Linked DNA regions of Saccharomyces cerevisiae S288C. The gene in region 1 interacts genetically with each later gene. Each region holds a gene or a part of one and is shown in the gene's direction. Other genes may lie near its edges.

The links. Genes that interact genetically often act in the same process or in processes that back each other up.
Region 2: mutations in CTF3 (region 1) and RAD61 together harm fitness more than expected from each alone (negative genetic interaction), as found in Saccharomyces cerevisiae (5 studies listed by BioGRID, with this or other methods).
Region 3: mutations in CTF3 (region 1) and SCC2 together harm fitness more than expected from each alone (negative genetic interaction), as found in Saccharomyces cerevisiae (3 studies listed by BioGRID).

Annotation. Positions count from the first base shown.
Region 1 is NC_001144.5:877,954-882,468, forward strand, and holds CTF3 (Ctf3p), read left to right. Parts: upstream 1-1,769; coding exon 1,770-3,971; downstream 3,972-4,515. Other genes in the region: CSR1 (Csr1p), read left to right, coding at 329-1,555; leucine--tRNA ligase NAM2, read right to left, coding at 4,114-4,515. UniProt on the Saccharomyces cerevisiae protein: Component of the central kinetochore, which mediates the attachment of the centromere to the mitotic spindle by forming essential interactions between the microtubule-associated outer kinetochore proteins and the centromere-associated inner kinetochore proteins.
Region 2 is NC_001136.10:472,083-476,544, forward strand, and holds RAD61 (Rad61p), read left to right. Parts: upstream 1-1,963; coding exon 1,964-3,907; downstream 3,908-4,462. Other genes in the region: 60S ribosomal protein uL4 RPL4B, read left to right, coding at 1-859; DNA replication protein PSF1, read left to right, coding at 1,075-1,701. UniProt on the Saccharomyces cerevisiae protein: Involved in resistance to ionizing radiation.
Region 3 is NC_001136.10:819,467-826,331, forward strand, and holds SCC2 (cohesin-loading factor complex subunit SCC2), read left to right. Parts: upstream 1-1,828; coding exon 1,829-6,310; downstream 6,311-6,865. Other genes in the region: NVJ3 (Nvj3p), read left to right, coding at 1-1,358; SAS4 (Sas4p), read right to left, coding at 6,444-6,865. UniProt on the Saccharomyces cerevisiae protein: Plays a structural role in chromatin and is involved in sister chromatid cohesion. Forms a complex with SCC4 required for the stable association of the cohesin complex with chromatin, which may act by hydrolyzing ATP from SMC1 and SMC3 heads.

The DNA of each region.
Region 1 (4,515 bases):
CCTGCGTCCCAAGAGTGCGCGGTATACGTGCGGCCCTAAACGAGGCGGTCTCTGTTCTCTGATATATTTCTTTTCTTTCTTCGTTGTTTTGTTTCGTGTTTGTTGAGCTCCTGCCTTCAATCGGCATCGTCCTCTTGCGTACGTACATAAAATCGTTACAGCTTTGTTCACATGGTGAAAACAATAGCGTTTGGTACGCTCTTTAAATCTTGGCACTTGTCACTTACGCTCCTTTAAACAAAATCAAACATACAAATATACGGATACGTACGCACACAGAAGCATAAAAGCACAAAAGCACATAAGAAGACCACATATAAACTAGATTATGTCCTTTGATAGACAGTTGACCGAAGACCAGGAGGTCGTCCTTAAGCAAATTTGGACACACCTTTTCCATCTGTGGCAAGTTCCCGTGGATGGAACTCATATTTTCCCTAATAACTCCCTCCACTCCTCGTCCACCCCTGCTAAGAAGAAGAAATCATCCTGGTTTAGCAAGCTTCAGTCCTCAGACCATACACAGGACTCCAGCGAAGCCGCTGAAGCGGCACACCTCTATGAAAAGGGCAAGATACACAAGGCACTAGCCAATCTAGACCCGCAAACGACCAAGAAGCAGTTCTGGCACGATATCAAGAATGAAACTCCAGACGCCACCATTTTGAAGTTTATCAGAGCCAGAAAGTGGAACGCAGACAAGACCATCGCCATGTTGGGTCACGATTTGTACTGGCGCAAGGACACTATTAACAAGATCATAAACGGTGGCGAAAGAGCTGTGTATGAGAATAACGAGACCGGTGTCATTAAGAACCTGGAATTGCAAAAGGCCACCATCCAGGGTTACGACAATGACATGAGGCCAGTCATCCTTGTGAGACCTAGATTACATCATTCTTCCGACCAAACTGAACAGGAGCTGGAAAAATTCTCCCTGTTGGTCATCGAGCAATCAAAGCTTTTCTTCAAAGAAAACTACCCCGCATCCACCACCATCTTGTTCGATCTGAACGGGTTCTCCATGTCCAATATGGACTATGCCCCCGTCAAGTTTCTAATCACTTGTTTTGAGGCTCACTACCCGGAATCTTTGGGCCATCTACTTATCCATAAGGCCCCTTGGATCTTTAACCCGATTTGGAACATCATCAAGAATTGGCTGGATCCGGTCGTCGCGTCCAAGATTGTTTTCACTAAGAATATCGACGAATTGCACAAGTTTATCCAACCCCAATACATCCCTAGGTATCTGGGCGGAGAAAATGACAATGATTTGGATCATTACACTCCACCAGATGGCTCTTTGGACGTCCATCTGAAAGACACCGAGACTCGCGCTATGATCGAAAAGGAGAGAGAAGAATTGGTCGAACAATTCTTGACTGTCACTGCCCAATGGATTGAACACCAGCCATTGAACGATCCAGCATACATTCAACTGCAGGAGAAAAGAGTACAACTTTCCACCGCTCTTTGTGAAAACTACTCCAAGTTAGATCCGTACATCAGATCAAGATCCGTTTATGACTACAATGGTTCTCTAAAAGTTTGAGCCAAGCCACGCGACGCTCCATACTGTATAGACCTTTATTATAAAAACATCTATTTCTTTATATGTCCCTCTATCTTATTTTTCTTTTACTTTTATTTGTATAATACGCGAAAAATTATAGAATCATTTATTATCAAAAACAATCAACTATGAAATGAAAAACAATACGCCTGCTAATACGGTTCGCCCTTCAATTTTTGTTTTTTTTACATGAATGAGTCTTATACTAGATGATATCATCCTCTCACTAACGAATGCTAACGAACGAACGCCACCACAGGCCCTTAAAACCACTTTAAGCCTGCTATACGAAAAATCAAAACAATATGGTCTTTCTTCGCCGCAACTACAAGCACTTGTAAGGTTACTCTGTGAAACTTCCATAATAGACACAGTTACAAAAGTGTACATCGTCGAAAATTGCTTTTTACCTGATGGCTACTTGACGAAGGAACTTCTTTTGGAGATTATTAACCATCTCGGTACGCCAACGGTATTCTCTAGATATCGCATACAAACGCCTCCGGTCCTACAATCTGCGTTGTGCAAATGGTTAGTGCATGTTTATTTCCTATTTCCTGTACATTCAGAACGAGAACACAATATATCCAGTTCTATCTGGTTACATTTATGGCAATTCTCGTTCTTACAGAAGTGGATAACTCCCCTGGTTATTTGGCAAGCCACGACGCCCGTTGATGTCAAACCTTGGAAGTTGTCTATTATCAAGAGATGCGCTATGCATCCAGGTTACCGGGACGCTCCCGGTAGTGCGACGCTTATTTTGCAACGATTTCAATGTCTCGTGGGCGCATCCAGTCAGATTACTGAATCAATAATTACCATCAATTGCAATAGAAAGACTTTGAAAAGTCATCGAAACTTAAAATTGGATGCGCATTTCCTATCCATTTTGAAAAGAATATTATCCAGAGCACATCCCGCTAATTTTCCCGCTGACACTGTCCAAAACACAATTGACATGTACTTGAGTGAAATTCATCAATTAGGTGCTGATTCTATATACCCACTTCGACTTCAATCACTTCCAGAATATGTTCCCTCTGACAGTACGGTCTCTCTTTGGGATGTCACTTCATTGGAACAATTAGCTCAAAACTGGCCACAATTGCATATTCCCAATGATGTAGATTACATGATGAAGCCATCTTTAAACAGCAATGTTTTACTGCCGCGAAAAGTCATGTCTAGGGATTCTCTCAAACACTTGTACTCTAGTATCATTCTCATTAAAAATAGCCGCGATGAGTCGTCATCACCATACGAATGGTGCATTTGGCAATTGAAGCGATGCTTTGCACATCAGATAGAGACTCCGCAAGAAGTTATTCCCATTATTATTTCGGTGTCCTCAATGGATAATAAACTGTCTTCTCGCATTATTCAAACGTTTTGTAATTTGAAATACTTAAAACTCGATGAGCTTACGTTGAAAAAGGTTTGTGGCGGAATCTTGCCATTATGGAAGCCTGAACTAATCAGTGGTACAAGGGAATTTTTCGTTAAGTTTATGGCCAGTATTTTTATGTGGAGTACACGAGATGGTCACGACAATAATTGCACATTTTCTGAAACTTGTTTTTACGTTTTACAAATGATTACAAACTGGGTTTTAGATGATAAATTGATAGCACTCGGGTTGACACTACTGCATGACATGCAAAGCCTGCTAACTTTGGACAAAATCTTTAACAATGCTACTTCAAACAGATTTTCTACGATGGCTTTCATCAGCTCGTTAGATATTTTAACTCAACTGTCGAAACAAACGAAGTCGGATTATGCGATCCAATATTTGATTGTGGGCCCTGACATCATGAATAAAGTGTTCAGTTCGGACGATCCTTTGCTATTATCAGCTGCGTGCAGGTACTTGGTTGCTACGAAAAATAAATTGATGCAATACCCGTCAACAAACAAATTCGTTCGGATGCAGAACCAATATATCATGGATTTGACAAATTATCTTTACAGGAATAAAGTTCTGTCATCCAAAAGTTTGTTTGGAGTCTCACCAGATTTCTTTAAGCAGATTTTGGAGAATCTTTATATCCCAACTGCAGACTTCAAGAACGCTAAATTTTTCACGATAACTGGTATACCAGCGCTATCCTACATATGTATTATTATTCTAAGACGACTGGAAACGGCCGAAAATACCAAAATAAAATTCACCAGTGGGATCATAAATGAAGAGACGTTTAACAATTTCTTTCGAGTTCATCATGATGAGATTGGCCAGCATGGTTGGATAAAGGGCGTTAATAACATTCACGACTTGAGAGTAAAGATTTTAATGCATTTGAGTAACACTGCTAATCCATATAGAGACATTGCAGCATTCTTGTTTACATATTTGAAGAGTCTCTCAAAGTATAGCGTTCAAAATTCTTAGAATATGCATCCACATTTATATACATATATATATATATATATATATTATAACTTCCAAAAAGGAGATTGGACAATTTATATCTATAAGGCATTAATATTTAACTATTTACAAGCACTAGTGGTAAATTCATGGCGTCATATGATTACTTGTGGAATAAGAAACTAATCACATTGAATTTCATGACAAATTTTTTGATTTTTTTATTCATCAAATACATTCTCCCTTCCGGTAAGTTCATCAAAGTTTCAATAACAGCATCCCTACCTAATTTCAAAAAGTTTTTGTCAGCCGTGTACATGAATTTGACTCTGCCATTTACCACAATTTGAAACTTTTTGAATTTGGACTCAGTAGTGCGCTCAACTTCTGGCCAGCGGTATTGGTTCCATTCCATTTGGGAGTTGATCATCTCTGCAGCTTCTTCTGAAATTGACGGGACAGCAGGATATATAACGGTTACCAACTTTTGTAAATTCTGTACTATCATTTCATTCCTTACTTCACCTTTTTTCAATGCACTTTCTAAAATATTGGTTAGCTTCAT
Region 2 (4,462 bases), on another chromosome or scaffold:
TGGTGGTGGTGGTACCGGTAGATCCGGTCAAGGTGCCTTCGGTAACATGTGTCGTGGTGGTCGTATGTTTGCTCCAACTAAGACCTGGAGAAAGTGGAACGTTAAGGTTAACCACAACGAAAAGCGTTACGCCACTGCTTCTGCTATTGCTGCTACTGCTGTTGCTTCTTTGGTCTTGGCCAGAGGTCACAGAGTCGAAAAGATTCCAGAAATCCCATTGGTTGTCTCCACTGACTTGGAATCTATTCAAAAGACCAAGGAAGCTGTTGCTGCTTTGAAGGCTGTTGGTGCTCACTCCGACTTGTTGAAGGTCTTGAAGTCCAAGAAATTGAGAGCCGGTAAGGGTAAGTACAGAAACAGAAGATGGACTCAAAGAAGAGGTCCATTAGTTGTCTACGCTGAAGACAACGGTATCGTCAAGGCCTTGAGAAACGTTCCAGGTGTTGAAACTGCCAACGTTGCTTCTTTGAACTTGTTGCAATTGGCTCCAGGTGCTCACTTGGGTAGATTCGTTATCTGGACCGAAGCTGCTTTCACCAAGTTGGACCAAGTCTGGGGTTCCGAAACCGTTGCCTCCTCCAAGGTCGGTTACACTTTGCCATCCCACATCATCTCCACTTCTGATGTCACCAGAATTATCAACTCTTCTGAAATCCAATCTGCTATCAGACCAGCTGGCCAAGCTACTCAAAAGCGTACTCACGTTTTGAAGAAGAACCCATTGAAGAACAAGCAAGTTTTGTTGAGATTGAACCCTTACGCCAAGGTCTTTGCTGCTGAAAAGCTAGGTTCCAAGAAGGCTGAAAAGACTGGTACCAAGCCAGCTGCTGTTTTCGCCGAAACCTTGAAGCATGACTAGAATTTATAGTATAGATCTTTAACTTTAATTTAAATATCTTTGTTACTAGTCTTTAATCAAACCTTTTTGTTTTCTTTAAAGTCGAAACGTCAGATTTGCTCAAAACCTTCTTGTCGTTACAACGCGAAAATTGTAATTTAAAATAACTAACGAAGAAAGCTGAAAAATAGATGTGAGGGAAAATCGTTTATAAACGGCCATGCTCACAGAGAATCATGTATGGAGATTTAGGTAATAAATTAGTATTAGAAGCTAAAAGAACAAAACAGCTGTACGCAAGAAGTAATCAAGATGTTAATTTACCCATGTATCATGAAGATATAATACGAAATATTCTGAAAGAAGTTTCAAATTTACGTAAAAATACGGAATATCTTAAAGAACAGCAGCAACTAGGAATGCTAGATGATAAGGTGGCTAAATGCCAGTATTTCGTTACCTTGTTATGTATGGAAAGGAACAAGAGATGTCTCTTAGCATACCAAAGGTTGAGAACAGACATACTAGATTCTATGGCTTGGAATAATAATGGTCTGGACTTGATGAGTAGCATTACGTTTAGCCAACAAGACACAAATAACCTTTCTCATCAAGAGCAGGAATATTTGAAAGAATACTGCGATTTAATTACTGATTTAAAAAGTGGTGACTTGGTCGATATTGATTTATCCGGCTCTTTAGTGCCTCCGAGCGATGTATTTATTGATGTTAGAGTGCTCAAAGATGCTGGTGAGATTCAAACTGAATACGGCGTGTTTAACCTTATTAAAGACTCCCAGTTTTTCGTAAGGCAGTCTGATGTAGAGCGTTTGATTCAACAAGGTTATTTGCAGAAGATATGATAAAATGCTTTCAAGCTGGTCTTCATGATATATAATCCTTTATAAAGCAAGATACATACCTCCATTCTAATTTACTCCCTTCTATGTTTACTTCAGCCCTTTTTAATAGATTTCGTAAGTTTTGGTTGAGGAGGCTTTCTGAGCTTTACGCGACTTTATTGATGACGAAGCTTCACTTTATTATAATAATGAAAAACTGCGCAGAGAAACTATCGCAAAACGAAACCATCTTCTTACCCTAAAGCATCCTGTTTCTGAAAAAATGAGAGCATATGGAAAGAGGGGCCCAGTTCTCAGAACTCCTTTTAGATCTAATAAAGGCTTGCCATCTTCTTCCGATGTTGAATTTAGTGATGACGATGTAAACTCCGTGATTCCTGATGTAAGTTCTACCATTTCGAGCAGTATTGCAGACCACCCGATAGAGGGATTATTGGACGAGCCTAGAAAGGCTCAGGACAGCTCGTCGTCATTTGATGGTGCAAATGAGAAGCCCTCTTCACAACTGGACTCAAAAAGGAATGACCAAAACGTCAAAATTATCACTAGCAGTGATACCTCAATGGCATTTATGAAAGATGAAAAGTTAAGTGCCTTTAATTTCCTTGATGGTTCAAAGGCATCTAAGAGAAAAAGAAGAAGAACTTACCAAAAGCATGATGCGAACATAACGTCTTCAATTGAACCAGACGTACAAGATGAAGACAGCATTACAATGCACAATGAATTTGAATCAATAAGGAAAATATACAATGACATCAATGAATTCATATTGAAGCTACCGAGAGCTGACGATGATATACTGAATAAAATGCTTGAAAATGAGATGAAGATGGACGACTCTATAGAGAATAATAGCATACGCACATCCAAAGACAAAAAATATGGCAAATTTAGAACAATATTAATAAACAAAAATAAAGAAAATGAAATAATGGGAGAAGAGGTAGATCAGAAAGCTAACACCTTGTCCCTAAATAACGCTGACAACAGTAATGCTGAAAAAGAAGGATTAACTTCAACAAATCACTACAACGAATTAAAAAATATGGGAGATACAATAAAATACCAGGATGATATTGAGTTTCTTCTGTCCAATTCTAAAAGTAATGACAATACTACGGTACCAATCAATGAATACTTTAAAAAACTTTTAAATTTATCCCTAATGATTATTAATGACGAAGAATTTTTTCAATATGCGAAAAGATATTTCAAAAAGGAAATAATTAAGCTTAGTTTTGCGCAATTTAGATCGGATTTTCCTGAATTAATCTTATTACAGGGTTATTTACTACATAAAGTTAGTGAATCACAATCCGATTTCCCGCCAAGCTTTGACAATTTCTCTATCGAATTAAGTAAAGATGATGGTAAAATACGGACAAAAAAGAATAAGCATATTAAAAAACTCTCACACCTAAATTTCGAAGACTTTCTTCGGAAGACTCAATTCAAAACGGGACTTTATTATTCATTATCACTCTGGGAAATGCATGGTAATTTATCGTTAGATATAATCAAGAGAATCTCCATCCTTGCTTCAAATAAGGACTTATTCAGTCGGCACGTTAAGACTTTTATTCCTCTTTTAGAAAAATTAATAACCGCTTCCGAATTTTGCCACATGTATATTGAACAACCTGAAATGTTCGATTCACTGATAAGCAACTTGAATAATCAGTTTAAGGATATGCTTGATGATGACTCGTTGATTAAAATCCTAATCTTGTTAACAAACATGGAAGTACATAACTATACGCTATGGAAAGAGGCAGATATGATATTTCAAAGTTCAATGAACACAATTTTGGAAAGCATACATCCATTGACAGACGCGAAAGTTGATAACATACTCTTGCATTTAGGGCTCTGCCTCAATATTTGCAGTAGAGAAAATAGTCGTTTAAAACTTGACGGCAAATTATGGTATGATATGAAAACTATATTTGTTAAAATGATCCGTGACGGTTCTGACACTGAAAATAGGTTAGTACAGGGCCTGTTTTACTTAAATTTTTCATTTTTAATTAAACAACGGAAAGAAAATAGTAATTTAGACCCAGGGGAGCTCAATTTGTTACTAGTAGAGCTGGAAGCATTTAAATCGGAAACATCTCAATTTAATGAAGGTATTTCAAATAAAATCGAAATAGCGTTAAATTACCTAAAATCAATATACACGAGTGAAAGAATTACAATATAAAGAAAGCATACATTGAACATAGCCTGGCTTCATCTTCACCCTGCTGGCAACTATTGAAAAATTGTCCAGAATTTATTATGTTATCCTTAAATTAATGAATGCCATGCACTTGCTTAAATTTTGACATCGCTTTCAGTGCATTGAAGCTACCAGGATCTTTGATGAGCCTTCTAGCGTATTTTTTTGTATGCCTTATGGCGCTTTTAATATGTTCATCTACAATTTCTTTAAAATGTCAATGGTAGCTTACTTTTTAAGAGTTATACTCCTGACAATTTTTTTTCACGACATAAGTTTGGTGGAAAATAAATGCAGTATTATTTAATTATTTAATTAATTTCCTTGACTGCACAATTCATCAGGAGCGTTATACAAATAAAAGAAATCATACTGTTTCATATTAAACACGAATAAGAAATTCAGGTTGAATTACTTGGTGTGATTATTTATCATACGCATAATATCAAAATAACTAATCATAAAAAAATATGAGCAGGATCTCCGCACCTTTTAAAAAAGGTTGAAAGGGCTTAAAAAACTGAAAGACTAAAACCT
Region 3 (6,865 bases), on another chromosome or scaffold:
TAATTACCAAGTACCGAAGGCCAAATGCCTCAAATCAATATAAAGGCTTTCTGTCAAAAAAAGGACATACACGACTGAATTCTAAATCGAGTGGAGATATTTGGGAGAAAGATTGTAGTCATACGAAAAATTCTGGTAATGATGTTTCGTTTGAGAGTGAATTTGAAAAAGATTCGGTTGAGTATCTAAGGGATTTATGTTTCTCTATATACCCAAATTCATTACATCAGAAAATCAGAAGCATAGAAGCTTTGCCAGACCTACAGGTAAATACCTTTATTGCCTTAATTTTCCAAAATTTCGTTAAGTCTTGGTATGGTATCAAAATACCCACTGATGATTCCAAGTTTTTAACCGAACTATATAACTTAGTTCAAGATTTAATAACATATTTGAAGAGTTCCAAAATCAATTACCATGCCCTTTTACTCGATTATATTCCCTGCTTGCTTTCGTCTCACTTGAAAGCATTAAATGACTCATCTCAAAATAACGATTTAGTTTATGAACAGTACTGTAAGCTAACTTTGTATGATTCGAAACGATATCCAATGCTATTCACTGAAATCATACAAAGTAAAATGAGCACCAAATCTCTACTACAGAGAAGCTTTTTGGATAGCTTTTTAAATGAACTTGTGTTCGGGCATATTTTTAATTCAATAGCGGAACCATATTATCTTCTGGAGGGCTTGAATAAAATTTGCATAAGAATAAAGCTAAATTCTGCAGGAAATACCAGAAACGAGGTGACTCATGGAAAGCCTAAATGCGATCCCTGGTTGTTTGTTTCCAATGTAAAGCACAAAATATTGCAAATGACCAGGCTTTTAGCTTATTCAACTTCAACAGAAGCAGCAAATATGAACACTGCCGAAATTCAAGAAACAGCATTTCTACAAAGATATATTTTTACTTTTTTCACCGATGATTTTTTCAAATTATCTATGAGGAAGCCATTCCTATTCTCAATATGCAGAACGCTTCAGCATTGGATCTCTAAATTAAATGCGTTAAACAGGGTCATGTATAGAACATTTGACAATATTGTTCAAACTAAAATTACCAGCCCTGTGACAATTGGCAACTTATTCTCATTATTACGACATTCTTTGTTTCCTAATGACAATATGATGGGGCCACCAAGAGTATTACCAGTGGGTGATGCTTTTCTAGAGTTCAGAGAAGAGTGTATTTCCAATTTATGGGATGTTTGTATGACTTATAAACTTGATCATATCCTCGCTATCAAAAGGTCTGACATAGCGGATCTTATTATCTGCATATCGAAGAATAGGGATTGCAATAAACTGCTAATTTATAGAATTATTGACTGTGTTATTGCGCAGTTGCCGTAGACTTCGTGATGTATAGAGTATTGTTGACAAATATTTGATGTTACCGAAATAGCACTCTTTGTAGCATTATTACCAATTTTTATACTATGAAGTAAGGTCTTAGGAAGCAAGAACATTGTTAACAAATAGCTTTTATGACCTAATCATTAGCACTATTCATTGCCAAATATGCAAATATCTATTCCTTTTGCCCGAACAGGTAAAAGTGGTATTGCTTTTATGTTAAACGCGAAACTGCCGCCACTTCGCTTAAAAAAAACACTGGCTGAAAAAGAACGATGCAGTTTAGTAACTAAAGTTTTTTCTAGCTCAGGCTTAGAGTTCGATAACAACAAGTCACATTCGAGTGCTCCACTTATAGCAATTTTTCTTTTGTGTATTGGTTTGCTCCTGTGTGCTCAGGCTTTTCGTTTGTTGTGAGAGTATTGTTCTTATAACTATTCATTTTTTGAAAGAATTGGCGGCTAGCAATGTCGTACCCAGGGAAAGACAAGAATATTCCTGGAAGAATAATAGAGGCCCTAGAAGACCTGCCTTTGAGTTATCTGGTTCCTAAGGATGGGTTAGCCGCGCTAGTAAATGCCCCAATGCGGGTTTCTTTACCTTTTGACAAGACTATCTTTACCAGCGCTGATGATGGCAGAGATGTTAATATAAATGTTCTAGGTACAGCTAACAGCACTACTTCTTCCATAAAGAATGAGGCCGAAAAAGAAAGGCTTGTTTTCAAAAGACCCAGTAATTTTACGTCATCAGCCAATTCTGTTGATTATGTCCCAACTAACTTTTTGGAAGGATTATCACCGCTAGCGCAGAGTGTTCTATCAACCCATAAAGGGTTGAATGATTCCATTAACATCGAGAAAAAAAGTGAAATAGTAAGCAGACCGGAGGCAAAGCATAAGCTCGAAAGTGTGACTTCGAATGCTGGTAACTTGAGTTTCAACGACAATTCTTCCAACAAGAAAACCAAAACTTCAACAGGTGTAACCATGACACAAGCGAATTTAGCGGAACAATATTTGAATGATCTTAAAAATATTTTAGATATTGTTGGATTTGACCAAAACTCTGCTGAAATTGGAAATATCGAGTACTGGCTCCAGTTGCCAAATAAAAAATTCGTTTTAACTACAAACTGCTTAACCAAATTACAAATGACAATTAAAAATATTACCGATAACCCACAGCTATCGAACTCAATCGAAATAACATGGCTTTTGAGATTGCTTGATGTGATGGTTTGTAATATAAAGTTCAGTAAAAGCTCTTTAAAGATGGGTTTAGATGATTCTATGTTACGATATATTGCTTTGCTTTCTACAATTGTACTATTCAATATTTTTTTACTGGGTAAGAATGACAGCAACTTACATCGGGAATCATACATCATGGAACCGGTGAATTTTTTAAGCGACTTGATAGAATCTCTAAAAATATTAACAATTGAATATGGTTCTTTGAAGATAGAATTTGACACTTTCCAGGAGGCCCTAGAATTGCTACCGAAATACATACGTAACGGCCCTTTTCTGGATGATAATGTCACGGCAAAGCTTGTGTACATCTTTAGCGACTTGCTGATGAATAATGACATTGAAGCAACTACGAATATCCAATTTCAAAGTTTTTGGGATAATGTGAAGAGAATCAGCTCTGATATTTTAGTTTCATTATTCGGTAGTTTTGATCAACAGAGAGGATTTATTATAGAAGAACTACTATCTCATATCGAAAAGCTTCCCACTAAGAGAATACAAAAAAAACTAAGAAAAGTTGGTAACCAAAACATTTATATCACTGATTTTACCTTTACTTTAATGTCAATGTTAGAGAATATTAATTGCTACTCCTTCTGTAATCAGATGAAGGATATTGCACCAGAGAATATTGATCTATTAAAGAACGAATACAAAAAGCAAGAAGAATTTCTTTTTAACATTGTTGAGCATATAAATGACACAATACTGGAAAGGTTTTTCAAGAACCCGTCCGCTTTAAGGTATGTAATTGACAACTTTGTCCAAGATCTATTATTGCTAATTTCCTCCCCTCAGTGGCCTGTAACAGAAAAAATACTAAGCTCTTTGTTAAAGAGACTTCTAAGTGTATACAGCCCATCCATGCAAGTTTCTGCAAACATTGAAACAATATGTTTACAACTTATAGGGAATATTGGTTCTACAATTTTTGATATTAAATGCTCAACTAGAGACCATGAAGATAACAACTTGATTAAAATGATTAATTACCCCGAAACTTTGCCGCATTTTTTTAAATCATTTGAAGAATGCATTGCATATAATGAAACGATCAAATGCCGTCGTTCTGCAACAAGATTCCTTTGGAATTTAAGGCTCGGTACGATCTTGATATTAGAAGAGTATACAAAGGATGCCAAAGAACAAATTATAACCGTTGACAATGAATTGAAAAAAATATTGGAGCAGATAAAAGATGGTGGACTTGGACCCGAATTAGAGAACAGAGAAGCAGATTTTAGTACGATTAAATTGGATTATTTTTCTATTTTGCACGCCTTTGAACTACTGAATCTATACGATCCATACTTGAAGTTGATATTATCACTTCTAGCCAAGGATAAAATCAAACTGAGATCGACTGCTATTAAATGTCTCTCGATGTTGGCTTCAAAAGACAAAGTGATACTTTCAAACCCAATGGTTAAAGAAACTATTCACCGGCGTTTAAACGACTCATCTGCATCTGTCAAGGATGCCATTCTAGATTTGGTCAGTATTAATTCTTCATACTTCGAATTTTATCAACAAATTAACAACAACTATAACGATGATAGCATAATGGTAAGAAAACATGTGTTAAGAATTAATGAAAAAATGTACGACGAGACGAACGACATCGTCACGAAGGTATACGTAATAGCAAGAATCCTAATGAAAATAGAAGACGAGGAGGACAATATAATTGATATGGCTAGGCTGATTTTATTAAATAGATGGATATTAAAGGTACATGAAGTATTGGACCAGCCCGAAAAGTTGAAAGAAATTTCTTCTTCAGTCCTACTAGTAATGTCCCGTGTGGCTATAATGAATGAGAAATGCTCCCAACTTTTCGACTTGTTTCTCAACTTTTATCTCCTAAACAAAGAAGCGCATTCAAAAGAAGCATACGATAAAATCACTCACGTTCTAACCATTCTTACCGACTTTTTGGTACAAAAAATTGTCGAGCTCAACTCAGATGACACAAATGAAAAGAATTCGATTGTTGATAAACAAAATTTTTTAAACCTTTTGGCGAAGTTTGCTGATTCTACTGTGTCATTTTTGACTAAAGACCACATTACAGCATTGTATCCTTATATGGTATCGGACGAAAAATCTGACTTCCACTATTATATCTTGCAAGTCTTTAGATGCACTTTTGAAAAATTGGCCAACTTTAAACAGAAATTTTTGTATGACTTAGAGACGACCCTTTTGAGTAGGCTACCAAAGATGAATGTAAGAGAGATAGATGAAGCTATGCCTCTTATCTGGTCTGTTGCCACTCATCGTCATGATACTGCTAGAGTAGCTAAAGCATGTTCATCCTGTCTTTCCCATTTACATCCATATATAAATAAGGCAAATAACGAGGAAGCTGCCATTGTAGTTGACGGAAAATTGCAAAGGCTGATATATTTATCCACCGGTTTTGCCAGGTTCTGCTTTCCTAAACCCTCCAATGATAAAATTGCATTTTTACAAGAAGGTGAAACCCTGTATGAACATATTACCAAATGCCTACTTGTACTATCTAAAGACAAAATTACACACGTAATAAGAAGGGTTGCTGTGAAAAATCTCACTAAATTATGTGGAAATCATCCAAAACTATTCAATTCAAGACACGTTCTACATTTACTGGACAAAGAATTTCAGAGCGATCAGCTAGATATTAAACTAGTAATTCTAGAAAGTTTATATGATCTTTTTCTACTGGAAGAAAGGAAGTCAGTGAGAAACACTGGCGTTAATAGCACTTTGTCTTCGAACTCCATTTTGAAAAAGAAATTACTGAAAACGAATAGGGTAGAGTTTGCAAATGATGGAGTATGTTCAGCGTTGGCTACTAGATTTTTAGACAATATTCTCCAACTATGTCTCCTACGTGATCTAAAGAATTCTCTCGTAGCTATTCGATTATTAAAGTTGATTTTGAAATTTGGTTACACAAATCCCTCTCATTCAATTCCAACTGTAATTGCTTTATTTGCCTCTACTAGCCAGTATATTCGTCATGTCGCCTATGAGTTGTTAGAAGATCTTTTTGAGAAATACGAAACGCTAGTATTCAGTAGTTTATCTCGAGGGGTTACAAAAGCTATACATTATTCTATTCATACAGATGAGAAGTATTATTACAAGCACGATCATTTTTTGTCTTTACTTGAAAAATTATGTGGAACTGGAAAAAAAAATGGCCCAAAGTTCTTTAAAGTTCTGAAGAGAATCATGCAATCCTATTTAGATGATATCACCGATTTAACATCAACAAATAGTAGTGTTCAAAAGTCCATTTTCGTTCTCTGCACTAACATTTCGAATATCACATTTGTTTCTCAGTACGATTTGGTGTCCCTACTCAAAACCATTGATTTAACTACAGATAGATTAAAAGAGGTTATCATGGATGAAATAGGTGACAATGTTTCATCGCTATCCGTATCAGAAGAAAAGCTCAGTGGAATAATTTTAATACAGTTAAGCTTACAGGATTTGGGTACTTATCTACTGCACTTATACGGGTTAAGGGATGATGTGCTTTTATTAGATATTGTAGAAGAATCAGAATTGAAGAACAAACAACTCCCTGCAAAGAAGCCGGATATCAGTAAGTTTTCCGCACAGTTGGAGAATATTGAACAGTATTCATCAAATGGCAAGCTTCTTACATATTTTAGAAAACACGTGAAGGATACGTAAATATATTGCACTTAAAATATACATAGTATTAATAATCATTTTGCATTTTCCATGCTGATTTTTCACGCAGGTTTTGAGAAGCAACTATGAAATATTGAATTTCATTTACACCATCGCATTATATTAGTTCAAACTAAACCTTTTTTTTCTTGCGGACAGGCAAAATATTAATACCTGAGTTAGTTTTCATTCCATTGTGTGTTTTTACAAAGGTCTTTTCGTTACAAGAGGGCACTATTGCTAAGTTTGGGTTGATATTGTTAATAATAGCACCCACATTCTCAGAAGACCTTTGTGAAATCTGAGATGCAGTGCAAGATGAAATTGAACCTAAAGGTGCCTTCTCTGAAAGAGTTGGACTTATAGATGCAGCATTGTTCCTTAAGGCATTCATTTCTTTTGATTTGACAGTCTCTGTCACAGATATTTCCTCCGCTTTAACATTCAGTTTCATAGACTTTTGTGTATCTTGCCTTATATCCCGAATGACTTCTGGTTCCACCTCCATCGTTAACGGGATGACTTCCCTTCTTCTTTTCACAGCAATTTGCGTTG